4 linked regions of the Tamandua tetradactyla genome follow. The protein of the gene in region 1 interacts with the protein of each later gene in a pairwise test. Links are inferred from orthologs where the notes say so. Each region holds a gene or a part of one and is shown in the gene's direction. Other genes may lie near its edges. The genes, in order: FXR2, PTS, C13H10orf62 and BYSL.

Region 1 (7,235 bases):
GGGATTGGGAAACCTTGACCAAAAGGGGGAAGAGAAATGAAACAAAATAAAAGTTTCAGTAGCTGAGAGATTTCAAAGAGAGTTGAGAGATCATTTTGGAATTTATTCTTATGCAGTATATAGATATCTCTCATCAGTTTTTTGTGTGTGTATTGGAGTGGCTAAAAGGAAATACCTGAAACTACTGAACTGAACTCCAACAGCTTTGATTATTGAAGATAATTGTATAATATACAGCGTTTAAGGTCTGACCACATGCTTGTGAAAACCTAGTGACTGACATTCCCTTTATCCAATGTATGGACAGGTAAGAAAATTAAATAAATAAACAGACAAATCAAATAAAAATCAGCAATCACTTTCAGTTGCATTTTCTGTGTTGTGTGTTTCAAACTCAAAACAGCATGCAAATATTCCTACTTCTGGGCATTTCTGTTGTAAGCATTGGCTGTTGCCTTCTCACTGTTGAAGATAAGGAACCAGCCTCTTGCCAACTCCTCCATCATCCCAATCCACCTCCAGCGACATCCTTGGGATGAGGTTCTTTGCCATTGTCTTTAATCAAAAAACAACCAACCGCTTTACCAGGTGTTCCCTGTCTGTCAACTTTACAAAGGCAAACTTATCTGATCAGCTTCATCAGAGAGGACTCCTGCTTGGAGGCAAGCAATGGCTCCAAGTATTCTAGGATCTGGGGAGAAAGACGTCAGGGGGAAGAGGGGAGTAGCAACAATCAGTATGTAAACTTACATTTAATTCCCATTTTTATCCACCTTTCTATCTTCCTCCCACTATTTTTATTTATTTAGAAACCCCAAAGCAAGTGGGGCATCTGTTATACACACTTTGTACTCCAGCTAGTAATCTTACTGAAATACAAGTCTGCTGAAAATCCTGTAATGGCACCCACCGTTTTCAGTGGAAAGTCCAAACATCGAAATACGTTTCAAGTCCTCTAAGCTCTGCCTAAGCCAACCCTTCCAGCCATGTTTCCTCTCCAAGTCTGTTCCAGCCATGTTAGACTATTTTTAGCACCTCAAGTCTAGGCTTTCTATACATGCCGTTCCCCTGTCTGAAATGCTGTTCCCTTTTTTCCCACTCCCATCCTTTACGTGAATAAACAATGACCAGAGCAGATGAAGGAGAGGAAAAGTCAAACCTGAGAAGATTGTTGGTGCCTGTGGCTTGGAAGTTGGTGACAGTGCCTGTCTTGGTTTGCTGGATCTGCTGTAACAAAGCACCACAGACTAACTGGCTTAAACAACAGCCATTTATTTATCACAGTCCCTGAGGCTAGAAGTCTGAAATCAAGGTGTCAGCAAGGCCATGCTTCTTGGAGGTGAATCCATTCCATGCCTCTCTGTTGCCTTCTGGTGCCGGCAATCCATGGTGTTCCTTGGCTTGTGGAGACATTATTCAATCTCTGCCTCCTCCACATGGCCATTTCCCTGTCTATACATCTGTCTCTCTGCCTCCAAATTTCCTCTCCTTATAAGGAACCCAGGTCTCCAGTCATACTGACTTCAGTCTAACTAGTAACATCTTTAGACATCTTATTTACAAATAAGTTCAGAGTCACAGAACCAGAGGTTAGGACTTGAACATGTCGTTTTGGGAGACACAATTCAATTCCTAACAGTGCTATTTTGAAAAAAATTCAGTCCTTTCCTACGCTTAAGAGATCAAACCCATACTCTTCAGTCTAGCGTTCTTGGTAATCTGCCCTACTTAATTTCCTTAACTCTCTGCACTCATCAGAATCACTGCTGGTTGTCTTCTGACCATTTCTGTCATTCTAATTACTGCTGCTCCTTCTCAGTCACTCTTGGAGGCACCTTTTTTTTTTTTTTGACAGCTTTTTAAATACTGGTGTAGTTCAGAGTTCCATCAGGACCTTAGTTATTTCTAAACCTTTTATTTGGAGATTCAATTTACTCCTCGGACTTACTCCTCAGACTTAACTATGCTGATGATTTCCACAAGCACCTTTCTAACCCAGACTTCTCCCAGATCACTCACCTGTAAGACATTTGTTCCTTCACTCAGGAACTGTGAGCTGCTGGGTAGACAGTGATGGGGACAAACAGACATGGACCCTGGTCTCCAACATCACAGAGCTTATGGTGTGATAGTGGAAGAAAGACACTGAGTAAATTATTATTACATCCGTGATCAGGGCCACAAAGGAGTAAAAGATGCTTTGGCAGTGTAAGATGGGGGACTAATAAAATTAGCATACCAGAAGGGTAAGAAAATTATATTTAAACTGGGACCCAAAAGAGAAATTTGTTGAGACAAGGGAGTATCTCCACCTGAATGGCCCACAGGCCCTCATAAAGAAAGAATACAAAACCAAACTCACATCACCATTCACTCTGTAATCCAAGTTAGAAATCTAGGAATTGTCCTGTGTTCCTCCCACTACTTCATTGCCTCCTGACCTAACCCCACCCCACACTCTATTACCAATTCCTGTGATCCTACTTCAAATTAAATAGGCTCAAATTCAAGTTTTATCTATTTTGCCCATAACCGTAGTTCAGACAGGTCCTTAGCTTCTTTTTTCACAGGTCTCACTGTCTTCAGGACCACCCTTACTCTTCAATCTATCCTCTAAAATTGTAAGATGCAAATCTTATCACATCAAGGGGTAGCAACCACTTAAATTCTTTCACTGGCTCTCCATTATTGATAAAATAAAAGTTATTCTCCTTAACTTGTCTTACAAGTCCTTGACAGTCTAGCTTCCTGCAACTCCTTCCTTGGTGCTAAATGCTAGATGAAGTAGATATGGTTCCGCAAAGGACGTGTTCTTTCTGCTCTTTGCATCGGCTTTGCCTCTTTGTAGCACCTCTGTTTGTTCTTCCCTGGCCATTCTTAAGTCCTGCTAACCATTGTCACCTTGGGGTTCCCTCAATACCTAGTCCCTATCTCTATCACATCTTAATCGCACTCTGTGCATTTATTTATTTAAATAAACTCCTTGAGCTCAGGGACCACATCTTGTCTTTGGATCCCAAGCACTTAGCTCAGTGATTGGAACATAGTGGGGGGGAGGGGGCTAAATAAATGTTTGCTAAATAGTTACATGCGCACACATGATTCTAATTTCTGTACTGTTTTACTCGATTTCAACTACATTTCTTATCTGTCTTAGTTCAGGGATCCTAAGTTTCTCCCCTGCTACCCTCACTCGATGACAATTTCTCCTATTTTGAATTTCCTCAGCATTTAGATTTCTGAGTTTGTGCCAATCTAAATTGCATTTCGCCATCGCCTTGCAACTATTCTTTGACCTTTCATTACATACATGATCAGGATCATCTTGTAATATCCTCAAGGCAAGAACCGTAACTCAAATCTCCTAAACACAAAGTTAGAGGAGCTTGGAGAGACATTCAATACAAGTCTATGGGCGATAAATCTCGGCGCACGCGCGCGGGACACCTCTTTGCCTTTCGACACTACTTTTTTTTTTTTTTTTCCTTTGGAGCGTGCGCACCAAGAAAGACAAAGGTGGGGAAAGTGACCAAGCAGTCGTTCCGGCGCATGCCTATCCCTAACTTGTCCAAGCCTGGTATGGCTCCTAGTGGTGAAGTGGGTGTGGTATGACCAGGAGCCGCAGAAGTCCAATCCCACGGAGTGAGAGCGGTCCCTCCCTCCCTATGATTGGTCAGCGGTCAGTGTTGTGGGGCGGGGAAAGGAAGAGCTCGGCGGGGTGGAGTGATGGGGTGGCGAAGAAAGAGAGCTAATCTCGCTCTGCGCAAGCGCATGTAAACGACCAGGAGGGGGCGTGAGAGAGGGAAGGAGAGTGTGGAAGCCCCCATGCGCTGGCGAGCGCGAGCTGGGGCGCTAGCCTTGGCGCCTGCGCCGTGGCCCGCCGGGCTCTGCGCGCGGCGGGCGGGTGCCGGGTGCGCCTGCGCAGTAGACGGCGGCGGCAGGGGGAGGTGGAGGCCGTGGAGCGGCAGAGGCAGCAGCGGGTCCCGGGACCGAGGCAGCAGCGGGGGCGGCGGCGGGCGGAAGCTGAGGTGACGAAGGCAGCGGCGGCGGCGGCCGTTTCCCTCACGGTGGCGGAGACCAAGGCGGCGGCGGCGGACGGGGAGCGGCCCGGCCCCGGCCCCCTGCTCGTTGGCTGTGGCAGGGCCGCCGTGGGGCCGGCCCGGCTCCCGCCCCCCGCGGCTCCCCCTCCGGCTCCTCCTCCGGGGAGACGCCGGGGGCCCGGCCCGGCCCGGACTCAGACCGCTGCTGCAGCCGCCGCCGGGGGAGTCGGAGGCGGTGGCAGCGCCATGGGCGGCCTGGCTTCTGGGGGGGATGTGGAGTCGGGACTGCCAGTGGAGGTGCGCGGCTCCAACGGGGCCTTCTACAAGGTGAGGCGGCGCGCCGATCGGGTACACCGGCCCCTGGCCCTCTCCCAGAGCCGGAAAGAGTGGGGCGGGATGGAGCCTCTCCAGCGAAGTCCTGACCTCTAAGAGCATTAGACAAGCCTCACTCCCACCCTCAGCCTTCCTGGGGAGACCTCTGGGAGTTAACCCTCTTTCCTATTTTGGATCCCTCTGGTACACCTGCTTTTTGCTCGCGCCTCAGAGGAAATGAACGTCAGGGCATTATTGTGCCTAAATCTGTGCCCTCCGCCACCCCTTTCCCCTAGAAGAGACCCCCATTTAACCAGTTTCTTATTGACTTTTCCTGTTTCGTAGTGCAAAGATATACCTTAGACCTTAATCATATCATTCCCACAGTCCAAGCACATAGAGAATTCTCCCCCCCGTTAGCCGTCTTGTGGAAAGCCATTCGTTCATCTTCCTTAGAGAGACTTCTGCCCACTGACTCGGGGAAAATCATCCCACTTTCATCGTTCATTCCTGTTCGCAGTCCAAGGAGAAACGGTCAAAAGCCATTTAAACTATTTGGCGTCTTTGACCTTAGGAACTCTGGGTTATTTCAGGGTCAAGTTGCCTCCCAACCATAAAGTGGCATCTTTTTAGTAGTCTTTTGCCCCGCCTCTTTACCCCAAGGCCAGCTGGTCTACCATTCCACCTAGGGGATGGGCTTTTGTTGTCACTTTGACCTCGGATACATTTAGATCATTTATATGCTTTCTCCATTTTGAGGAATGTATAAGTTTCATATATCATAATATCTAAAAGGGGATCTCACGTGGACCTCTTCTGTTTATCTTCTTAAGGATTTTCACTTCTAGAAGACTTCTTGCCAACTCCCAATTTGGGAATCTGCTAGTAACCTTTTTTGGAAGGAGGAAGGGAGTATCTTTCAAAGACCCTTGCTTATTTCAGCCTTCTCCTCACCAAGGATTTGGTTCCTTAGAATTCCTTTTAGACCATCTATCCCTTATCTCCTCTGAATTCAATTTCTAGGACATCCCCCTCACCCCCCCCCCATTTAGATTAGGCCAGAGGAAGATCCTTCTTGCCTCCTAAGGATATTTCTTTGTCACTGTTGTTATTCTGAACCTCTTTGGGCCTTATTCCTGGAATTGTCACAGAGACTTTCCTGATTCCTGTCTCATTCTTCACTCTCATCCTGAGAAGCTGGGTAAAAGATTTTTTAACATCACTGGTGAGAAGAGCCTCATTTCCTTAACATCTCCTCAAGCCTTTTCTTCCACAGTAGACCCCTCCACCTTTATGCCCTTGGAAATAATTTCTTCCCTATGAAATCATAGCTTACTTTATCTGGAAAGGGTCATATATTTGCACTTGGAGTGGATGGTTTCTATCCCAAGTTCAGTTGATGAGTTCAGTGTATTCATTTTTTTTTTTACCCACTAACCATATCTACTTTAGTCTCCACACCAGATTTCTGTACCTGTCTCTGTCTGTTTGTCTTAACTTCCCTCTCAGTTCAAGCCTCTAACTTATTGTAATATTTTTATTCTATATACTTTTGTAATCATCAGGAACCATCTTATTGCATGTCTAGCTTGAAGGAAGTTCTTGATTGATCTCTTTTGTTATTTTTTCTACATACTTTTATAACTTGGAACTTCTTCTTGAAGTTTGCCCCCAGAACATTTATTTTCTCCGGGAAAAAAAGTCTTAATTCCTTTATAGTTCTGATAGAGTGTATTTGTTTCATATTCTTTCCCCTGAACTTACATTACCTTTACTGAAATACCCTTCTGCATAAGATGTTATCCCCATTTTCCAAGTATCTTGTCCTTCATCTGGGCCCCCCCTCAAATTCTGAGTTGCAAGAAGAGTGATTGTTAAATTGAGTCTGAGATCAAGATATGATGTTTACTTTTGTTCATGGAAGCATGGGAGCCAAGCACAGCTGGGAAAGATTGGTATCCTGTTCAAATTAACTGTATGAGATGGTTGGTAAGGGAGAGAGTTCTCTTTTCACATAGTAAGTGTCCAACACAGAGTCTTCCTATGAATCTTTCCCTTTTCTCCTGTGAGCTATGGCAATGACAGACCTTTGATTGAGGGACAGAATACTTTGGTTCAAAGAGTAGAGTTTGGAATTGAGTCGAAAGCCATGTAATGTGGATTTTGTGTTCTAGCCACTTTAACATTTTCTGTTCCATTACAGTTAAAAACAACAACAAATCCCTAAATTCAGGCTAATCTTTCCTCAGCTTTCATTGTCATATAGACACTTAGCCAGACTGACCTTGCTACTGATTTAATATTCATGACTCAGCAGACTTTGGTGTGGATCAGAGAGTATTTACACTGTTTTTAAAACTATAAATTTTGGAAGATCCCTTTCTCCTCTCTCAGAATGGGTCCTCTTCCAAGGTGGAAATGCAAATGTTAGATCTGAGATCTAAGTTTTCTTGTAGCTACCCCACCAACCCTTTCTTTTCTGTCAGAACTTAATGTATTTTATTCTTTAAGTTGTACTCTCCTAAATGAGAGAATGTACCCTTCTGGGCACATTCATTAAACTTTTCAGACCCTGCCTGGATATATATATTTATCATCCCATTCTTAGTATATAATCAGTAACTCACAATATTATCACATAGTTGTACATTCATCACCATGATCATTTCTTAGAACATCTGCATCAGTTCAGAAAAAGAAATAAAAAGAAAACAGAAAAAAACGTCATACATACCATACCCCTTACCCCTCCCTCTCATTGATTGCTAGTGTTTCCATCTACCCAATATATTTTAGCCTTTATTTCCCCTAATTTTTTTTAATTTTTAAAAAACATAACAACATACAAACATGAACATTCTTACCATGTAATCATTCCATTCT
Region 2 (7,766 bases), on another chromosome or scaffold:
CCTTAGGAATTTTGCAGCCTAGTGGAAAAGATAGACAGATTTTAAATGAAAACAGAGGGAATTTTCAGTGTTGTCTTTCTTTTTCTAGAATGAAAGCAATTTTCTCTTAGTCTTGGATGCTAAGAACTTTGAAGAACTGGGCCGAGCTGAAGTGCCTGTGCAAATGCCTTATGGATTCCATGGCACATTCGTACCCATCTGATGGGACAGCCATATGATCTGGGATCTAGATGTAAAAGTAATGTTCTCTTCAAAAAAGAGAAGGAAAAAATGGCACCCTGTTTTCCAAACCATAGACATTTGAGTGCATATTAAATTTCTATTAAAAATGGGATTCATGAGATAATTATGGTTTTACATTTTCTTACTGTTCTCCTTGAAAACATTAAGCAAATGTTGATACAACCTTTTGAAGAGGGTTTTAAATATACATATATTGTCTAGAATTTCCTCTAAGTAATACATGAAAGAACTAAAGTGAGATCATTAACACCACCAGATTAGGTGGGTAACACAGATGCTCAAAGTTGGGAGAAAAAATACAAATGGTCATTGATGGTACATTTTGAATATAGACCTGAAAAGCACCTTGTTCTTCCCACCACATCTGCCTGATACCTTTGTTCCTGAGGTACTTAGAGAGGACAGGAGCTCAGTTATATCATGTTTGGAGGCTTTTTCTAAACTGGTTATTTCTCTGCTGTCAACAACAGAAACCACTGCAATTGTATAACTCTTCTAAGGACCTCTCATTACCTCCCCCTTCCCTCTCCCCAGCTCAGCTTGGGAGGTGCTTGTTTTGAGGGACAGCTCTATAATTGGGTATTTCTTCTAATCTTCGGGTTGAAAGTTTGTAGTCCTTTATTAATTTGGGCAACAGGTGGCACTAGAGACCATATATTCTCCACATTTCTGATAACCATCAATTTTTATCAACAGCCCTAATCAGCCCAGATCTGCATTTTTTTGTCAACACCCTCAAAATCCCTTGCTCCCTTTTTCTTTAATTCCAGCCCTCATGACCCCTTAGCTCCAGCCCTAGGTTATTATACTGTCCATTTTCCCTCTGCATGATGAATGTTGCTGGAGAAACCCCCCAAAACATGTTGTTTTGAAGCAACTGTGAACTCATGGTCACTAGCCAAAGTTAGGTTTACTACACATTCATGGCTCAAAATAGTCAATTTCCTCTCTAATTTTCCTTAAGAGTTACTTCAAACTTCACAAACTCGATCATTTTTGGAGGAGTGCTCTATGTAAATGGCATCTGTGGGAATTTGATTGTGGCTATAAGTGGAAATGCCCATGTCCGGGTTGGTGAGAGCAACAATAGGTATGGAATGGCAAAAAAAAAAAAATGCCTAAATTGTATGAATTCAGCAGATATAGGAATTTAGCACCTGAGATAATCATAAGAACATGAAGTCCCCTGATATTTCATGGAAGACCCTGAAAAAGCATTGTACTTCCCCCAACATGATGTGGACTTTTGATCTATCTTCTCTAGATCTTAAGGGTGAAGGAAACTCTGGCTGACATCTGGAAAGTACAGATCTCATCATGCCTTTCCTCCATCCTAATATATAGGAAGTGAAGTTCATACATAAAAATGGTTAGTTACATATAAAATTTTGACCTAGGGATGCCTGAATTCTGCTTCAGTTCTCCTATCTATAAGACTCCTGAAGGAGAAAACAAAAAAGGATTAATGATATTTTATAATCCAGGTGTGTATTTATGGTAATTCAGTACAGAACTTTCTGGTAAAATATGAGTGAATATATAACTAAAGCTTAAAGCCTAGACAGAGGCTCTTCCCCTCCCTAAGCCCAAGACTTAAGGAAAGGGAGTTTGTAGTACACAAATGAGAAGAAAAGAGAGAGAGAGAGATAGCTAACCTGTCTGAAGGTACCAGGCCCTGGTCAAACGGGCAAGAGACAGAATAGAACAGTGAATAAAATGTGCAGGCCTTCTTGAGGGTAGGGGTGGGAATGGAGAAATTTTAACTCAATTTATTCCTTTGAACTTAGCACCAGAGAGTAAGCTACAACCACATGTGAGACTTATAACACATTGTGATCTTGCTTGTGAGTAAATGAGGCCAGTCGATGGTTGGAAATATGATTCAATCAGATGCGAATTCTTTTTTCTTGGGGAAGAAATAGGAGACCGGTAAGAAGGAGAAGCCTTGAGAAGGGGACGAAGCTCTTCTCTTTTATACTTAAAGTGACATTCAAGGTCTTTCAATAATTTGATCCCCAGTGGGTATTTTCAGTCTGATCTCTCACCTATCTCCCCAGTGCGGTCAAGAACTTCTCACTATGCATTAAACAAGCTGCACTTTTCCGAGTTTTCTTTGTCACCCTATTTTCTCTTTCTGGAATTCTCATCCTTTCTTACCCGTCTGGTGAACTCCTTCAAAATCTTGCTCAAAAGTCATCTCCACTTTGAAATTGTAGTGGCTTGAAGCTGTATGTACTCCAGAAAAAACTGTTTTTAAATCTAATCCATTCCTATGGCTATGGACATATTGTAGGTAGGACATTTTGATGAGGCTATGTCAGTTAAGGCGTGACCCACCTCAATCAGGATTGGTCTTAATCCTCTTACTGGAATCTTTTATAAGAGAATGAAATTCAGACAAAGAGAGAAAAACTCAGGAAGCAAGAAGATGAAATAGAACAGAAGGAAGAGACCAGGAGATGCTGCCATGTGCCTTGCCATATGGTGTAAGAGCCAAGATTACTGGCAGCTGACCTTTGGGAAGAAAGCATCACCTTGATTTGGACATTTTCATGGCTTCGAAACTCTTAAATTCTCATCGTTTAAGCCAACCTCATTTGGGATTTTTTTGGAGCAGGAAACTGAAATAGAAGTCTTCTTTTACTTTCTGAAGCAGAATTAGCCTTTTCTAGTTTATCCTGATAATATTTTTGTATCTGGCTCCCCATTAAAGGGAACTGTGTGAGGATCGGGATCATGTGTTTGTTACACTCATCTGTGTGTTTCTGGCATTTGACAAAATACCTGGCATTTAGTAGGTGTGAAGTAAACGTGTTGTCTTAATGAGTGTCTGGAAGGTGATCCTTATGGGGGCTACCTTCCCTATTTTTGTTCATTGGTATACTCTCTGGTATCCAGCACAAAGGAGCCAAGCACAAAGCCTTGACTTAGTAGGTTTTGGTAAAGAAAGTTAAGGAAATGTTGTTTGCTTATTGGTTAAATAGGATCACTGAGGGTGAATTTGGTGAGTAGCCTTATATAGCACTATTTTTTTATTTTTAAATTTTTAAAATTTTTTAAAATTTTTACATGGGCAGGCACCGGAAAACGAACCCGGGTCCTCTGGCATGGCAGGCAAGCCTTCTTGCCTGCTGAGCCACCGTGGCCTGCCCTAGCACTAGTTTTAATGAAATATTTTAGAGCAAATGCAATGAAATATTTTAATGGCCTAATCAAGTAACAAATGTAATATCTCAGAAACCCCTTTTACCTTTTGTTGTACTTTGATGCTTTAAACTGCTTCCAGCATGAGTAAAGTGTTTGTGTAACCATTGACTGTTAGTGTATTTACCTCTGATGCAGTTAATACCTGGGAAATACTGTTTACATGTTGAGTGATCTTGAGAAGTCATTAATTTATCTTTGCTTGCGTTTTTTCATCTGTAAAGTGAGAGTATTAAACAAGATAATCTCTATCTCAAAAATCTCTGAAAGTTTATTCTTTGAAGTCTTTTCTTTACAGCCCAATGGGGGACATGGGACAAACATTTGAAAATGTATGAGTGTTTGTTACATAACATGCTAATAATTTAATGCAGAACAAACAATATATAATATATACCTGGAGACAGGAGACACTTGAGAAGTCATTGTGCTTTATATTTCTGATACATCCATGATTTTAAATTATCTTTCTTTTCTAAATTTATGAAAAACTTCTCCTACTTTGTTATTGACTTGTTCCGCTTTTCATCATTTGATAGTTTCTCATATAGAATGTCCACTATTCTCCCTAGTGCCTAGAATAGTACCAGCCACATAATGGATGTTCAATAAATAAATATTTAATGAAAGAATCAATGGAGGCAGGAGGCGACATGGTCCTGGGGAATGTGAAGAGTTTGGAAACTGTTAGGAGCAGATTAAGTATATAAGATCTTTTCACACTAGAGCTATCTACATTGGCCAGAGAATTGCTAGTGCATGTGTTCATGTGTTCAAACTATGCCAACCCAGAGTACTAATTGATCCTGCATGCTTTTGGATGGTAAAGACGGCTTGAGAATTTTCCTTGGTAAGAATCATTACAGACAGTTCAAGCTAGCATCATCTATGAAATCCCGTGGTCCTGCAAAGGCTCTTAAATTCCTGCTCCCTTTATATTACAGGTGAACGGTGGCTCTGGTCTTATCCCAGATAACTACCCCGAGGCAGGAGGTTTCCAGTGTAACAAACCCAGGGCTTTGTAGAAGAGAGTGAGTGGGAAGGAAGGGAGGCTCAAAGAGATCACGCCAGCATCCAAAATGTACTCAGATTAACCCTAACCGGAAGACATTTACCCAAGTTGGACAGACAGAAAAATCAGACACTTGAAAGCTCGAAGGTATGCCTAACTATCCCAACTCTAGCTCTCTGAAAAGATCCCGGGAGTGATGGTCCTTTGTCAAGGCCTCCAAGTCGACAGGGCGGCGCTCTCGATCTCGGGATTGGCCAGAGCCCAGTCCTGGGAAAAAAGCCGGTGAGTGCTTCCGGGGGCGCGCGAGCCCGCACTGCGCAATCTCGGACGGCGGTGCTTTCTTCCAGCTATCCGCGGGCCCTGGGGAAGAGGGCGTGCTGAGGCGCCCGGGCTTGGGAGACCATGAGCACGGCGAGCTCGGGCGGTGGGCACCGTGCACAGGTGTCCCGTCTCGTCTCCTTCAGCGCGAGCCATCGGCTCCACAGGTAGGGTGTGACCATAATGTCAACAGTGGGAGGCGGGGCCTTTGCCCTGCTGGAAAACGTCTCTGGGAGGCGGGGCAAGGGACGTGCTTACGCGCTTGCTTTTGCGCTCTTTGGGTGCGGAACTAGAAGATGGAGGGTTGACGCTTGGCGGCCGAGCTTTATTGTTGACCACAACAAAAATAACGTTGGCAACTAGAGTCGACCGGGCTTTTGAGGAGGCAATAAAGAGTGGTGATTAACTGAGCAGATTGCAGAGTGAGAATCAAGAGGCACCACTAGGTCCGTGACCTGAAACAACGTTCTTCCCAGATTTCCTTAGTTTAGTTCAAAAGGTTGCTGTATAGTTTAAAGGAGTTAAACTTTCCCACATTGCACAGTATCTGGCACATCGTAAACACTCAGTAAATGATAGCTAACGTATCCCAGGAGCATTAGCTACTGAATCTAATACAATTTAAAAAGTGAGTTTTATCCCCATTTTGCTTAGATTAAAAAAGAACCCAAATTCAGTTTCCTGAGTCAATTCTAAAAGCATGCAACACGGTTGGCATTTGAAATCTGGGCTCTCAAATTGATTGCGCTAAAGAGAGACTGCAGCGAGCTTTACCACTTGCTGATGAGGCTCACTGTGAGCCTCCGGTTTCCCCCTTTGTGTGGTACAGTAGTCTAATTAGAGTACACACACTGGTTTCAGTGTGTGTAATGAAATCAAATAGATTTATGCGTTTCCATTTGGTAAGCCAAGGGCAAAACAAATTGTGAAGCTTTTCAAAGGCTAAAACAAATTATAAATGCAGGGAACAGGGGGTGTGAATGTAATACTGTGTCCTACTGAATTTTTTTTTTCCTTTTTTGGTTAGCAAATCTTTGAGTAACGAAGAAAACTTGAAACTGTTTGGGAAATGCAACAGTCCAAATGGCCATGGGCATAATTACAAAGGTGAGAGAAAAACTGATGAAATTTTAGCCCTTTTAGTAAGGATAACAGTGTTCAACAAATACAAGCTTAATGAATGAGATGTGTGGACAGTACATGAATGCTTTGAGTCTTGAATGAAATTAAATGAAATTCAAAGTGAAAAGATCTATTGTCTTGGTTGTGTGAACCTTAAGTTCAGCCTCTCAATCATCTGTTCTATTGAGGACAGTCCGGAACAATAAGTGGCTTAAATAAACTTTTTCCTTGGCGTTAGGTGCTTAATACGATTTTTTTGGCAGTGTGTTTCCTTCTAATTAGGTATGGCAGAGGCAAAATGTTAAAATTAGATTGAATTTTTTGAGCAAATAAATAATGACCAAAAAGGGGGAATTTTGCCTAAGAATGTGCCGACTGGCAGAAAAATAGGTTGGATCTAAAACTTTGCCAGCAGTGTTCTAAGAAAGTAATTAATTTGTGCAAGGGTAAGTGATCTGATTCTTTAAGATACAGCCAATGACTGAAAACACTGCTACATAAGCCATAGGGTGTAATATAATATAGTGTGGTGGAATAAAAGAGCAGGTGAGTTTCTAGTCAGGGTTTCTAGCTTAGGTGCTGCCTCTTATTTTATCTATGATATCTCAGTATCAGTTTACTCACTTAATCATATAATACCTATGGTGTTTGTGTGGAGCTGAAAAAATATGTAAATATATAAAAGTTATTGATTTGTAAAACTCTGGTTGTCAGGATTTTTCAGATGCTTTTATACAAGCACTTGTTAATTCTCAAAGCATTAATGTAAACTGGGTATATTTGTGTGAGTAAAAGAATAACAGTAGTGGTTTGCCTGATCAGAAAAGTATCATCCAGAATTGGGCCAGGTCAGTACATAGTTGGACACCTGCCTATACATTTTCTACTTTTACAGGCAGAAATCCAGCAGCAGTGACTTATCACCTAGGGAATTAACATCATAGGCTGAATTTACAGTTTGGGCCTTGGCCTTTGCTAATAAGCTCGTCTCTCTTGGTTGAGTGTTGCTTTGGTTGATAAAATATTTTAACTAAAAAAAGTAACTTTTGTTATACATATAGCTTTGGGTGGGGAATCTCTAATAGTTAATTTAAGCTTACTTGTGCTTGGATCTTACTCTGTCGTAAGTCATGCTGGTTTTTGGTATTTTGTTTTCTTTCCCATAGTTGTGGTGACAGTACATGGAGAGGTACGTGCTGAAAATATTTGTGTGGTTTGTGCAGATTGCTGGGCCCTTTCTCAGCCAACGTGGCGGCTTATATTGAAAACTTCTGTTCCAATCCATATTGCTTCGCTGTCAGCCTTTGTGTGATGAACTGCTGCCATTCCAGGTCACTCCTCTCCCAAAGTGTTGTCTTTAGTATGCTATATATGGACAGGTAGAAGAGCAGTACAATGAAACAGATGCCTCAAACATACGGTGTTTCCATGCTGAGATTGATGATTGTCTCTGGCATGAAGGCAAATGTGGGCCCAATCTCTGTACATTGTACAGCTTTTAATAGTTTGCCAGAGGCTTAAATCTGGAGAACTATTGTAGTAATATTCACCTTTGTTTATTCTTTAGATTGATCCTGTTACAGGGATGGTTATGAACTTGACTGACCTCAAAGAATATATGGAGGTAATGACATGCTTGGTGCTTATTATGTGAGGTCTCCTAAGTCAGATACAGATATCAGATACCCCCATTTTCACCTCCCCAACCGAGTACCTTCGGAAGCCATGATCTTGTGAGTGGAATTGGGTGTGGGAGTCGAGGAGTAGTTATATAGAGGCCTTCGAAAGTTGTTTGGTTGACTGAAAGGAAATTAGTCAGAGTGGTATTAGTGATGGTAATAAATGTAACATGCTTATTTTATATTCC
Region 3 (5,943 bases), on another chromosome or scaffold:
TCGCGGGCATCTACCCCCCTGTGACCACCCCCTTCACTGCCACCAATGAGGTGGACTATGGGAAACTGGAGGAGAACCTGCACAAACTGGGCACCTGCCCCTTCCGAGGTAAGCTGGGCCTCTCCGCTGTGGGAACTGGGGGCGAGGTTAACCACCCCGTTCTCCTCACCAGAGACCATGGGGAGGGGGCACAGGCTCTGTCAAGTAGCTCAGGGCTTTTCAGGTGCCCGGGTTAATTTACTATAGGAGAGGGACAGGGGACACTGGTCTGGGGGGGCAGGAGCTGGGTGGAAAGCTGCCTGCTGGTGTGCAACCTTGCACTGAACCTCACCTGCCTCATTTTTCCCAACTGTAAACTACTAAAGTGATTGCTTGGCTCTCAGCATTACTGAGGTGTGAAAGTCCTGTCAACCACGTCCTCCTGCAGACCCTCACTTCCCTTAAAGCCCTTTTCACACCTGCTCTCTAGGCGAAGCTTCCCTTGGCCCTTCCTCTCCAGATCACATTTGTGACCCTCCCCACCCAACACAGCACAGGCACAATAGATGAAGGTAGAAGAATTGGTGAGTTTGGCTTGCACCCCCACGTCGGTCAGCTGACGACCCTCTGAGGTAGTACTCTGGATAGCCCTGCTTTACAAATGGGAATCTGAGGCTCATAATGACAGTCACTTGCCTAAGATCACTCAACTAATACATGGCTGAGCTGGGATTTGAACTCAGCTGGCATCTGCATGACCCATGCTTTGTTTGACTCCACTGTACTGACTCTCCTTATACCCTGCTGGATTGCTAGACCAGATTATGGAGAGAGCCCTGTTAACAAGCAGAGTCTGGTCAGCACCAGCTTTGGGAATGGAGTGGCTCAGACCAAAGCAGTAACAGTATAGCAGTTAGGAATGTGTACTCTAGATTCAAAACACAACTCTGCCGCTGACTTAGCTATGGGATAATCTCTCAAAACCTGGGCTTTCCCCATCTGACAAATAGAGTGAATAATGCCCATATCATAAGATGGTTGGGAGAAAAAAAATGTGAGAATGCAAGTGGCAGGCAGCAGTGAATTGCAAAGAGTGATACACATTCAATGGTATTAACTCCAATGACAATAATTACTAAAGTGACAGTGTGTGCACTGTGGGCAAAGCTGCTTTCACATCTCATGGTGAGGTGATGTGGCCTTCCCTAAGGGACAGTGAAGTTCCTGTGGATACCCACACTGAGCAAGGTCACACTCTCTAAACAAATTGCTGCTGGAACTCAGCTCATGGGGGCCTGAAAGTTAGAGCTGAGAACTGGTTGTCTTGAAGCAAAATGAGAAGCTGCTTTGAGCTTCAGAGAGAAGACTCTGCTTCAGATTCAAGGACACCCTAGGACAAGGAATTGATGAGTGGACTTTGCATTTGGTATATGCCTTCCACCCAGAGAATCCGGAGATCCTCAGGCTCTCCTCTGAACCCTTCTTCCCTCCCACCCATTCACTGCTGGGAGTGCTCCAGGAGCACTGGCTACAGCAGATTTCTGGCAGGCCGCTAGGCACACATACTCACTTGGCTTTCTCCCTTGCAACCCATGCTGGCTCCCACTTGCTCACTCTCAGCCACATACCAGGAAGGCAGTGGACTGTAGTAGAAAGAGCCCAACATCTGGAGTTAGAAGACCTGGGTAAGAATTCTGTTTCTCATATGGATTAAAACTAAATAAATAATAGGGGGAACAAATGTTAAATTTAGTAGATTGAAATGCTAGTGATCAATGAAAGGGAGGGGTAAGGGGTATGGTATGTGTGCATTTTTTTCTTTTTTCTTTTTATTTCTTTTTCTGAATTGATGCAAATGTTCTAAGAAATGATCATGATAATGAATATATAGTTATGTGATGATATTGTAAGTTATTGATTATATACCAAGAATGGAATGACCATATGATAAGAACGTTTGTGTTTGTAGGTTATGTTTTAAAAAAAAAATTTAAATTATAAAAAATAAATTGTTTCTGCCAGTTACGGGGACCTTGGGAAAATCGCTTGATTTCTTTAACCCAGTTTCCTCATTTTGAAATGGGCACTGAGCCTTCAGGCTCCTGGCCACAGGGTTCAACATACTCGGTCCAAGGAGCTCAAACCTGGGTCACGGCACAGAGAACATAAAGCCGTAGGGCCCTGTCACTGCTCCCAGAGCACAGCAGGATGTCCAGGAAGGGACACCGAACAACTTTAGCTCTGAAATATGTGTTTCTCTTGTCTGGATCCTGGCCCCGGGGTAGGGTTTGCAGTCCAACACTTAGGGTCAGAGGAGAGAACCGCCACAAACCACATGGTAGGGCCCTCCAGCAACGAGCTAAAGGTCCTCAAAACAGGAGCCTTAAAGCTGCCCTTGATGGATTAGTGAACAGGTAAAGGACTCCTCTGGAGGACATTGCCTGAAACTGTGTAGCTCTTTTTTTTTTCAGCATTGTTAATTTGTAGATTATTTGAATGAAGAATATTCTTTCCGAATAAAAGGTACGAGTTGTTGCAGCAGGGCCATGTAGCCCTGAACTCATGCCCTAACAACCTCAAAGGTGGACTTTGAATCGCTTATAGTGAGGTGAGTGGACGAGTGTAGAGCTACTCCAGCGGGATGAGTGAGGTGAGGTCCTCCCTAAACTTTAAGCATGGGACATGTTATCTCAGCATGTAGACTACACTCTGGCATTTTGTTTACATAGTTATCTTTGTATAAACTAAGATTATTACTTTGTTAAATAAAATATTTTGTTTACAACATCACACTTTTTGCAATCCTGTTTCTCGCATTTCTTCATTTTTAACACCCTAAATGTCTCTGTAGGAATAAAAGTAGCCCAGGCCTGTTTTTACCCCAAGGAGCCCTGACTATAACTCTGAATCATGAGCCAAACTTTCATTTTTCTGCACCTACAGAAAGTCTGGCCACAACGTGAACAATGCCATTTACCTGGAGGCAAATTCTGGGTTTACAGGTGCCTCACTAAGGCAGGAAGGGGCAGCCCCCATCCTGGAATGACCCCCAGGGGTCTGGGACCTAGTGAAATCTCCTGTCTTATCTGCTCCGCCTTCTCAGTACCACTTTTTCTCCCCAAAGTTGTGGCTTCGTGTTATTCCAGAATAAGCTCCGTCCTGGGCCCCTTTTCCTTCTAGACCCTGCCCTATAAAGCGGTTGGGTGCTATCAGTGAGGAAGGAATGCGGTGAGTCCTAGCAGCAGAGTTGGTTCCCAGATGGAGAGCGTCACTGTCCTCAGGCAGCCCGGAATAGATGCCAGTCCAGCCACGGTGGGTCTTCTGCCATGGCCAGCCTGACCCAACTGTCTCAGCGCCCTGGGGGCCACAGTATGGGGTTGGGGGGATAAACCAAAGACTAGAAGAAGAATCGCAGAATGGGTCACAAGCAGAAGGCAAAAGGGACTCAGATTTGGGGCTCTCAGTTTGCCAGGCTGCTATGACAAATACCACACAATGGGTTAGCTTAAACAACAGGAATTTATTGACTCACAGTTTTGAGGTAGAAGAAATTCAAAATTGAGATACTGGCAAGGCTTTCTTTCTTCTTGAAGACTGCATTGTTGTGGTGCTGGCTGTATTGCTGCCTGCCATCAAATGGTGATGCCCTCTCCTTTCTGGCTTTTGTGACTTCCAGGTTCTCTTAATAATATTCACCTTCATGCAGTTGGACCGCATCTCAATTAAAAATAACATCTTCAATTTCCTGATTTTGATAACTAAACTGTGATAATTATGGAAGACGTCAACAATTGAGTTCCATGTGCTTTATTAAAATATAAAATTGAAAAAAAAAATAGCATCTTCAAGAGATCCCATTTATAATTGGCTCATATCCACAGGAATGCAGATTAAGGTTAATCTGTCTAATATGGGGTTCATAATCCAATCTACCACAGTGCCCTTCCACTGACCTTGGGGACAACTGTCAGGGTGGGAGATGGGACCCAGGCTTCAGGCAATACTGCCAGGCTGGACATGAGGGATGCTGTGGCCTCTCCCCACCCCCACTGCCTTCCTCACAATGGAGTTCATTGCTGAGGTGGGAGGGGCCTCTAGGGAGGGGGCAGCAGGGGGTCTGCTTGCCAGACACCCTTGGGGAGCCTGCCCTTACAAGCATGCACCATACCATCCTGGCTCCCCCACTCCCAGTGTGCTCCTAACTCAGCCTACCTGGCGTGGGGTCCTGGAGACTTTCCTGGAGCTCGTCCAACAGCCATCATGCAAGGTGGTGCTGGCGGCTGCCCTCTTGCTGGGAGGCGGAAGCCTCATGCTGTGGGTTCGGAGGAGGAGAAGGAAGAGAGTTACTGAGTGTGTAGGCAGGTTTTACCCAACAGAATCCTGCAACCCAAAGAATGAGGACTGGATCAAATCTCACTTTAGCCGCCTTTCTGATGAAAAGCTGGAGGCCAACAACACAGCTGTCTGTCCCCCGGTTGACTGTGGGAATGGAGAAGCAAGCACCACAATTCACGTGGAGACCTTCACCACAAGGCACGGAGAAGGAGGCACAGCTCTTCACCGGGAGTCCTTCACCAGCAGGCAGAGGACGTCTGGGTCCTCGTTGATCAAAGAGACCCACAAGGAGTCGGGGAAATCCTCCTCCACAGATGAGGCCACCTGGGCCGCAGTGGCTGCCTGCACCAAGGAGATCGACAGCAAAGGGCGGCAGCTGGCTAACTCCATGCTGCAGCGTGCCACGGCGTACCAGCACACGGGCCACGTGGAGACCAAAGACATCAACCAGGAGGAGCTGAAGGCTCTTGAGGAGGTGGAGATGAAAGTGCAAGGGAGTTTCCTTGTCCGGCAGGAAAACACCACAGCTGGTTCCAAAAACACCCACACTTTCCCTGGTCACGGTCATCAGAAACACCAGGGCCATCCAGGCCAACCAGGCCTCCAGGGCCATCCAAGCCATCCAGGCCGCCAGGGCCATCCAAGCCGCCAGGGCAATCCAGGCCACCAGGGCCACCAAGGTCATCCTGGTCACTTGACCCACCAGAGCCACCAGAGCCACAGTCTGCCCAATGGCAGCCATCAGATCTGTGACTCCTTTGAAGCCACCTAACCACGGATGGAGAAACCCCTTCCCCCAGCAGGGCTGGCACACCCTCACAGGCCTGTTTTCTCCCTTATAGGGCAACCTGTGTGGCCCAGGGTGAGATGCTGCTGGGATCCTCTCTTCCTCCGGTCCCCACAGGAGCACGGGCCCCTTCAACTCCATGCGGGGGCTCTGCCACAGAGGATGGCGGTGGAGGGAGAGCTGGGAGGAAGTGAAGCAGCTGAGACAGACTCTGAGGCTCCTGAAGACCCATGGAGAGGAGACAGACAAGGCAGATCCCAGGAGCAGTGAAAGCCCCACACTTTTGCCAAATGCCTGGAACTGAGCCAATAAAAAGCCCTGTGTACCCTCACCCTGAGTCGGGGGCTCTGTGGCCAACGCAAGGTCTGGGCAGGAACAGGGGAAGAAGGATCCTTCTCCAGCAGTCCTTGACGTGGGGGCCTTGGTCTGGGGGCTGGGTATAGATTCTGGGAATAGGATATCTCCAGGGGATTCAGCACCCACCCACCTGCCATTGCCAAGGAAGGGGAAAGCAGCCAGGTGTTTCCTGGGTGGAAACAGGCTTTTGGAAGGGAGTGAGCTGGCAAGGTGGGCCCCTCTGCTCTTGGCGTTATCCTCACCCTATTTCTTCTCAAGTCACATTACATCCCACACTGTAGTTCCTTCTCTGCCCCACCTTCTTCCCACTGGGGTCCCACTGCCAACTGGGAGCCCTGCTGGTATCTCCCCACCACCTGCCCTCACGGCTTTGTGTCAGTGTGATCTCTCTCCTCCTTTCTCTGATACTAATATTGGCATGGCTGTGGCTGCTGCTACCAGTATCACAGCACTGTTTCCAGCACCCTGATTTCACATTTTTCGTG
Region 4 (7,715 bases), on another chromosome or scaffold:
TTACTCTGGGATATACTGGGGTATCACTCTAACCTGAACAAACCAATAAAATATCACACCCTATTCAAGATTCCATGTACTTATTTTTGTTCAACTAAACTGACTATACGAGTTAAATTAGGAAATGACCTACCCAAAATATAAATTTTGTGCCAACTAAGCATCTCACCCTCTAGTTTCACACAGATGTTGAAGTTTTAAAATATGGATGATATCATCCTTTACCCTGTATTCTGATATACCTTAGTCCTACCCAGATCAGCTTCACTCATATCTCTACTCAAAGTATGATCAATTTTTCAGCTTTTCAAACAGTTCCCACGTGGGGTACTACTGACTTTCAAAGCTTCAGAGCTCTAACTTTGTGACTCAATGTTTACTGCTCTTTCCATTCTATCTCACAACCTGCCACAAATGTCCTCTATCTCCCCAAATAGACTGTAATTTCCTTAAAAATAAGGGTCCAATCAGCAAAACAGGGGCCATACCAGGTAGATTAACTAGAAGTAGTATGCCACCTTATATCTATAAGCAAATGTCTTATTTTCCAAATGCTTTCATAACTATTATCGCTTTTGATTCTTATATATTTCCAGTTGAAGGCAAAACAAACATTGCAATTCCACCACTGATGAAAGCCTGTACAGCTATCAGCTCCAATTTATTAAATGACAACCTCAGTTGAAAGTGTTTTGCATATATTAACTTATTTAATTGCTACAATAATACTAGGAGATAAGTACTTTAACTGTCTTCATTTTATACATTAGAAGAATCCAAGACATATTGGGAAGATCCAAAAACAAAGACCACAATAGGTAGTTTCAACAGAGGGAATTTATCATAGGGAACAAAATACAGGGATTGGAAGGACCGAAAAAGTAAAAAGTATGGTATGGCAACCCAGAGAACAGCAATACAGGAAGCCACAACCATCTATGGGCTGCAGGGAAAATGAGAAGATGTGCTGTTACTAGCCAGGAAGTGGGGTTACCTAGCAGAAGCTAGAGCCAAGGAGACATGGTTAGGGCCAGGGACACCGTCCAAAGCATAAGGAAAGGAAGGCAAATACTTGTGGTCTCCCTTTCTGCAATCTTCTTCCTGTGCCTTAGACTGCAGGAGATGTCAGGGAATGAATCTACAAGGAAATAGGCAAATCACTGGAATAGGAACAGCCACAGATGGGTTATGGGACTTATTTAAAGTTGTACATTTATTAAGTGGCAGAGTTGGGACTTAGGGGCCTGGTTCCACAACCCTACTTTTAGTAGCCGGGTTGTGAAATCATCTAAGAATGTATATATTTAGCAAGTTACCGCTAGGGCCAAAACTAAGAAAACTCAGGTTCCCTAACTCATATTCAAAGATCCTCTTTCCCTCCCTGCCAGCACAATTACCATCCACACTCCAGTCAATGTGATACATTTAAGACAAAAGCTGATTCATTGGTCAATGTCAATGTTACACTAATATGGCCAAAGCCACTGGCTAGGTGAGGGAAACAGAAAGCCTTTAGGCAGAAAGTACAAAAAGAAAAAATTATAAAGACTTCTGAGCCTAAAAAAAGGGATCTTTTTCAAATTTTTAAGTGGATAAGGTTCATTTGGGGAACAAGTAACCCAGGTGATGCTGATGCAATTGGTCAATGATCAATTCTTTAAAAGAAACAATGTTTTAAAAGTTCCCAAAAAGAAAACAAAATAGCTCCAGTCTAACAGATGAAGAAACAACAACTTAAAGAATTCAGAAACACAACTAGATCAGAAAGACTTTAGTGAACATGAATGTCCATCAACGCCAAGCCAGGTTGCAGCCATCCTACAGTGCAATCCCACTGACCTTGGCTGCCAAGGGTGGAAGCCGCCGTATGGTAGGTCTCACAGTCCACACAAAATGTTCCTTGTTTCTCTGCTCCAAGCATCTCCAATTTCCGGGTGAGGAGCTCCACAGTCTGCTGGACACTCTTGCCCTCAGCCACAGGCATCTGGGACACACTGGAAGGAAAAGGACCAAATCATTAGCATCCAGAAACACACATGCACTAGTATAGCCATTCAACAAGCCAACTGCTCACTCACAGCATCACAAGTCATCAGGAGTTACTTTAGAGACCACTCCACTCACGTGACTCTTAATTTTAAAGATGAAGAAACAGAGGCCCACAGTCTCTGAGAGTTCCTCTAGGAACTACAGCACAGGTTTCAGGACTCATGTACCAGTACAGTGAACTTCCCATCACACCAACATCTACTGATGTTAACTGTGCCATCATGCAAGAGATGTTAGGCTGAGTATTCAATAACACTGAATCACATAAAACAAGAGATTCCCTTAGTAATTTTTTTCAGTTCTAAATATATCAAGGAGAAAGTCTCAATTTGATTTAGTACTTTTTTCTTTTTTTTTTTTTTTACATGGGCAGGCACCAGGAATCGAACCCGGGTCCTCTGGCATGGCAGGCAAGCATCCTTGCCTGCTGAGCCACCGTGGCCAGCCCGATTTAGTACATTTTTACTAACTCTAACACTTTCAACTTATGTTCTTCAGTAGAGTAACAATTAGCCACATCTGGCTATTTAAATTAATAAAACAAATTAAATGAAATATTCAGCTCCTCAGTAGCACTGCCCAGATTTCAGGGGATCAATAGCCACAAGTGCATAGTGGAAAATGTTGATATGGAAAATTTCTATCATCTCAGAAAGTTCTATTTGACAGCCTTGAACAAACAGAAAGCAGAGTTCAAATTTATAATCTTTGGGAGTGGGAGGCAGTGGCATCTACAAGAATTTAATAATGCAGGAAAACGAAACATGTTATTTCCAAGATTTCCTTCTACTTGAGGGTGAGTGAAACTGGCTTCCCCTTTAGAGTAATAGATAACAAGTACCTACCATGTGCCAGACAGTGTACTTCAGGTGAATTAACTCTAAAATGGGGACTTCAGATGAATTAACTCTTCCAGTCCTCACAACAACCCTATAAGAGGTGTTATTATTTATCTCCTTGCTGCAAATGAGTAAACTGAGGTACAGAGAGGTTAACTAATGAGCCCAAGGTCAGACATTCTCTCTAAGGATGTAGTTGCCTGTTAAATAACATTTAAAGGAATAAACTTAAAAGAAAACATTAGTACCTAATAGTATAGCTGGTAACTAGCTATGGCAAAAATCATGAAGACAATCATATGCCTGTACTTTGGTAGACAATGCATTACTTTATGATCAATCGATTAAACGAAGCTAATAAGTTAGAGTCCTACTGCCGCTAAAAATTGTCACTACTATCTCTCAGAAAAAGCACGGTTATATAATAGTGATGTGACTTAATTTTACACAGAAGAGGATCCTAAAAACTAATGCTACAAGGATAAGTTCTAAGATTCTGAAAAAGTTGGAAAAAGATAGAAAGCACAACAGATAGAAAGGCCTTTCTCTCTGGATGCTTTCTCTTTTGAAAGACCAGGGGTTTCCAGGATTTCAAGCCTCTGTGCTGTGAACTTTTTATTCCCATCACTCACATATCTCCCTAACACCAGAGGACTCGAAGATCCTCTCGAAGGTCTACCGTGAGAAGCTAGGGCACAATCAGACAATCCTGTAAGAGCCTGAGTTACAAGAAAAAGCATTTCCCACAGGTTGTTATATGAGAAGTCAAGAGCCACTAACTTCGGATATCCCAGTCCCCAGTTCTCTCTGACAGGAAAGATGTGCACACCTGAAGACATTTTTTTTTAATGTCCTGAAACCTAACATTTTGTAACTAACACCTCCAAAATATTAGACCCACGCCTTTCCCTATCACCTTGCCTTCTTCCAACTGTGGCTTATAACATGTTAGAGAGAGAAAGCCCATAGAAAGTAGAACCTTGTAATTTAACATAGCAGGAAACAGGTCCTGTGAAGAGGTGAAGCAACTGCAACTCCATCTCCTAATTTCTAATAGTTTATTTTATATAATGGCCAATGTAGAACCAAACACTTTTTGTGGCTGTAGGGAGGGGCAAGAGAGACCTAAAAAAAAAAAAAAAAAGGCATTCTACTCGTTGCCTGACCACCACTTTCTTCAGCCCTGCTTGCGGACGGGTCCTGGTGCGGATATCCTATCCCCAAAGCTGAAGTACTCCTAGCAGTACCATAACATAAGGTGCAGGAAAATGTACGAAGAAAAAAGGAAAGGAGGTACACAACCACTGATAGGCTCCTAGGATTAAAAACTCCTACCTGCCCCCCCCCCCCCCAAAAAAAATCTTACCTGCTGCCTTCCAGGAGAAAGGAGCTTATCTCCGAAGAAACAGACCCCGAGAACCTGCAACCTTCGCGGGATCCCCTCACCCATATAACCCAGGGGCATTTTGTTCAGTTCCCTCAGGGTGTCGGAGAACCCCGGTCCCGCTACACCTCTCGGTCCAGTCAGGCTCCAAGGGCAACTTCATGATCCCAAAACCCGTCTCACAAAATCCCAAGTGGTCTGTGCAGTCTTACCAAGTCACTCCCATGGTGTCGGATGAGAGGGTGGCAGATTCAAACAGCTGAAACGCGGTGCTCTCCGACCGCCCACATTAAATGAAGCCCCCAAAAGTAAGCTTCGGTCGAGGGAGAAGGCACCGGAAGTTATATAAAAACAAAGCGTCCCATGGATGCGCCAGGAGGGTACAGAGACGTGCTTGGGCGCTCTCACCGTGACGTATGCAGAGACGTCACGCAGCCCAGTGACAGCTTCAGGCTTGGAAGTATGGACGTCCTATTTGGCTGGATACCCAGACTTGGATCTGCGATGCTTGGAAAGCATGGTTCGAACTGCCACCACTTACAGCAGTCATCGTTAAATGCAAAGAATTTATTCAGGATTTGAATTTATTCAGGGCCCGTGCGAACTTTTAGGGAGTGGAGTTGGGTGTCGCTGACGGCATTTCTGTCCTCCAATCACTCGGGGGCGCTGTGCTCTCCGCGCGGCCTGGTAGGCTTTGGAAGTTCACTGCACAAGCGCACTCTCGGCTGCTCGCCTCTGTCCCCACGTGTGAAGGTTCGCGGCCACTTTTTCGAGAAAAATGCCCAAATTCAAGGCGGCCCGGGGAGCCGGGGGTCAAGGAAAACTTGCGCCCCTGGCCGAGCAGATCCTAGCTGGGGACGCAGTGCGGGCCGGGACCCGGGAAAAGCGGCGGAGCCGCGGCACCGGAGAAGAGGAAGAGTATGTGGGGCCCCGACTGACCCGACGAATTTTGCAGCAAGCGAGGCAGCAGCAGGAGGAGCTGGAGGCCGAGCATGGCGCTGGGGAAAGGCCCATGGGGCCGAGGGAGCGCACCGCGCGGCTGGGTGAGCGGCCGGGAATGGGGTGCGAGGGAGAGAGTGGATACTTGGATGAATGGCTGAAAGGTGTCCGTCAGGGGAGAAGCTTGGAGTTTTGAAAAAAGTGCCCATATTACGCTCTTTAGAAAGTAATGGGATGGGAGACCGAGCCCTGAAGCGGATTTAAGGTGGTCCAACCCCACCTCAACCCACCCCTGCCCACTCCTAGTTTTAGGCAGTAAGATTCTAGGGGTCCTAGGCGCCCCTAAAATTAGGCCAGCGGGATGTGATCGCTCATTATCCATTAAATTGTCCTGGTATTTATCCACTTGCTCCATAAGTGTTTATAAGGAAGTTTGGATAATTTGGGTACAGAAACGAACAAGTTTGACACTGTCCTTTCCCCTAAAGCCAATCTGACCTCTCTACTACTTTCTGCGCTTGCTCTCTCCACTCCACCCCACCCAGCCATATAGCTTCATTGTTCCTTGAAGTTGGCAGATTAGGGCCTTTTCCCTGGTTGTTCTCTCTGCCTAGCATGTTCAGTTCCTATACACCTGCAGGCTTACTTGCTTAATTCTTCACCTTTTCAAAGAGGACTTTTCTGACCACTCTATTTAAAATTCCAGTACCCACATTCCAGTTTCAACAGTCCTAGCAGCGCTCCTTTGTCTCATTTTTTTTTTCCATTCCAGTTGTCTTCTTTTGACCCAGTGTATTGATTTGTTATGTTTATTTATGATCTGTGTCCCCCAGTTAAAATGTACCAGAGATTCTACGAGGACAGAAATTTGTTTCTCTTGTTCACTGATGTATTCCCAGTATCCTGAACAGTGCCCTACATATAGGAGGCATCAATGTTTGCTGAATGAATTGATTAAAGAAGGATGGTGAGGTACATAGGAGCTTTTGTAGACCTGGAGGCCATACCAAGATTTAAAGCTATCTAACATTGATCAGACCAAATGTGTGGTTCCAGAAGTTTAGATTGGCTGTAGAGTAGAGAATTTGTTGAAAGAAAGCAAGGTCAGTAGCATGGAGACTAGTTAAGGGATTGGTGAATGAATCTAGCAAGAAATGATGCTGGTCTAGGTTTAGAAAGGGCTGTGAAGGATTTGAGAGATACTCCATGAGGTAGAATCGAATAGGACTTCGTAATTGATTGGGTTTGCAGGCTGAGAATATGGACAAGGCAGGGCTGGGAGGTAGTCACCACAGTAAGTGGTGCAGTCTTGGGGAAAAGAATGAGTTCACTTGGTGACAGATGAAGTGCCTGGGTCATCTAAGGAGGGTACAGGAGAAGCCTGGAGTTAGCATCTGGATCTAAGAAGAAAGTATGGATTTGGAAGTTGTTGACATGTGAGAACAAAATATTTGTGTATTCCCCCTCCCCCCACCCTAATTTTAGTTCTTTCATCACACAATGCTCTGTTCTTAATGATCTGTTCCTATGTAGTATTTTCTCTCCTCGATTGGATTAGTACCCCTCCTCCCAGATGCCCACCAACCTCTAGTCTTCAAAAAATCAGTTACTCAAATTGGTTGTTGGATTGAAATAACTCCACTGCCTCACCTCTTAAGACTCTCCACAGTCTGGCTTCAATTTACCATTGTAGCCCTATTTCTTGCCACTACCTAACACAATCGAATCAGTCCCACGTTGCCAGGAAGGTCCACACCCCTGGGATTCATGTCCCACGCAGAGAGGGGGAGGGTGGTGAGACTGCTCGTCATGTTGGCTGGAGGGAGAGGCCACATCTGAGCAACAAAAGAGGCTCTCTTGGGGGTGACTCTTAGGCCTAAATTTTAAGTAGACTTGACCTATCCTTTGTGTGGGGTTAAGTTTCATATGAACAAACCCCAAGACTGGGGGCTCAGGCTACAGCTTTGGTTGTCCACACTGCTTGTGAGAAGATCAAAAATTCGACTTGGGGAGGTTGAATTTCTCCCTGCTCTCACCATTCCCCGAAGGGGGCTTGAAAATACTTTTCCACTCACTGATCAAATCACTCTGGGATTCATCGGGGCATCACTCTGGACAAACCAACAAAATCTCACATCCTACCTGAGATTCCAAGTACTTATGACGTTCAATCAAACTATCTACATAAGTTATATTAGGAAATGCTCTAGTCAAGATATAAATTTTGTAACAAATAAACATTTTTTGCTTTAGTCTCACACGTAAAGTGACATTTTAAAATATTAATTACCATCTATTTTCAGCACCCTGCAATAATGACATTCCTTTATTCTTCCTCATGCAAAAACATTTTTAAAATTTGTACATTGTACATTTCACTATTGTTATACACTCTAGGCATTCCTAGATTATACTATCTCAATCTTTAACATCTATCTTTCTTTCTGATTTCATTTATGTCCCCAGCCCTCCTCCCTCTATCATTTCCACATGCAGCTTCATTC

What was found.
Region 2: the proteins of FXR2 (region 1) and PTS interact in binary tests that used the Homo sapiens proteins (3 or more experiments, as listed by UniProt). The two-hybrid records come from large-scale screens. The link is inferred for Tamandua tetradactyla from reciprocal best matches to the Homo sapiens genes FXR2 and PTS.
Region 3: the proteins of FXR2 (region 1) and C13H10orf62 interact in binary tests that used the Homo sapiens proteins (3 or more experiments, as listed by UniProt). The two-hybrid records come from large-scale screens. The link is inferred for Tamandua tetradactyla from reciprocal best matches to the Homo sapiens genes FXR2 and C10orf62.
Region 4: the proteins of FXR2 (region 1) and BYSL interact in binary tests that used the Homo sapiens proteins (3 or more experiments, as listed by UniProt). The two-hybrid records come from large-scale screens. The link is inferred for Tamandua tetradactyla from reciprocal best matches to the Homo sapiens genes FXR2 and BYSL.

What each region holds. Positions count from the first base shown.
Region 1 is NC_135332.1:61,463,645-61,470,879, reverse strand, and holds the start of FXR2 (RNA-binding protein FXR2), read left to right. Parts: upstream 1-4,233; 5' UTR 4,234-4,286; coding exon 4,287-4,367; intron 4,368-7,235. UniProt on the Homo sapiens protein: mRNA-binding protein that acts as a regulator of mRNAs translation and/or stability, and which is required for adult hippocampal neurogenesis. Specifically binds to AU-rich elements (AREs) in the 3'-UTR of target mRNAs.
Region 2 is NC_135334.1:28,962,408-28,970,173, reverse strand, and holds the start of PTS (6-pyruvoyl tetrahydrobiopterin synthase), read left to right. Parts: upstream 1-4,746; 5' UTR 4,747-4,861; coding exon 4,862-4,944; intron 4,945-5,804; coding exon 5,805-5,884; intron 5,885-7,065; coding exon 7,066-7,088; intron 7,089-7,466; coding exon 7,467-7,523; intron 7,524-7,766. Other genes in the region: BCO2 (carotenoid-cleaving dioxygenase, mitochondrial), read left to right, coding at 89-202. UniProt on the Homo sapiens protein: Involved in the biosynthesis of tetrahydrobiopterin, an essential cofactor of aromatic amino acid hydroxylases. Catalyzes the transformation of 7,8-dihydroneopterin triphosphate into 6-pyruvoyl tetrahydropterin.
Region 3 is NC_135339.1:58,872,588-58,878,530, forward strand, and holds C13H10orf62 (uncharacterized protein C10orf62 homolog), read left to right. Parts: upstream 1-3,998; 5' UTR 3,999-4,003; coding exon 4,004-5,086; 3' UTR 5,087-5,432; downstream 5,433-5,943. Other genes in the region: HOGA1 (4-hydroxy-2-oxoglutarate aldolase, mitochondrial), read left to right, coding at 1-108.
Region 4 is NC_135331.1:99,516,623-99,524,337, forward strand, and holds the start of BYSL (bystin), read left to right. Parts: upstream 1-4,701; 5' UTR 4,702-5,050; coding exon 5,051-5,315; intron 5,316-7,715. Other genes in the region: MED20 (mediator of RNA polymerase II transcription subunit 20), read right to left, coding at 1,840-1,994, 4,485-4,498. UniProt on the Homo sapiens protein: Required for processing of 20S pre-rRNA precursor and biogenesis of 40S ribosomal subunits. May be required for trophinin-dependent regulation of cell adhesion during implantation of human embryos.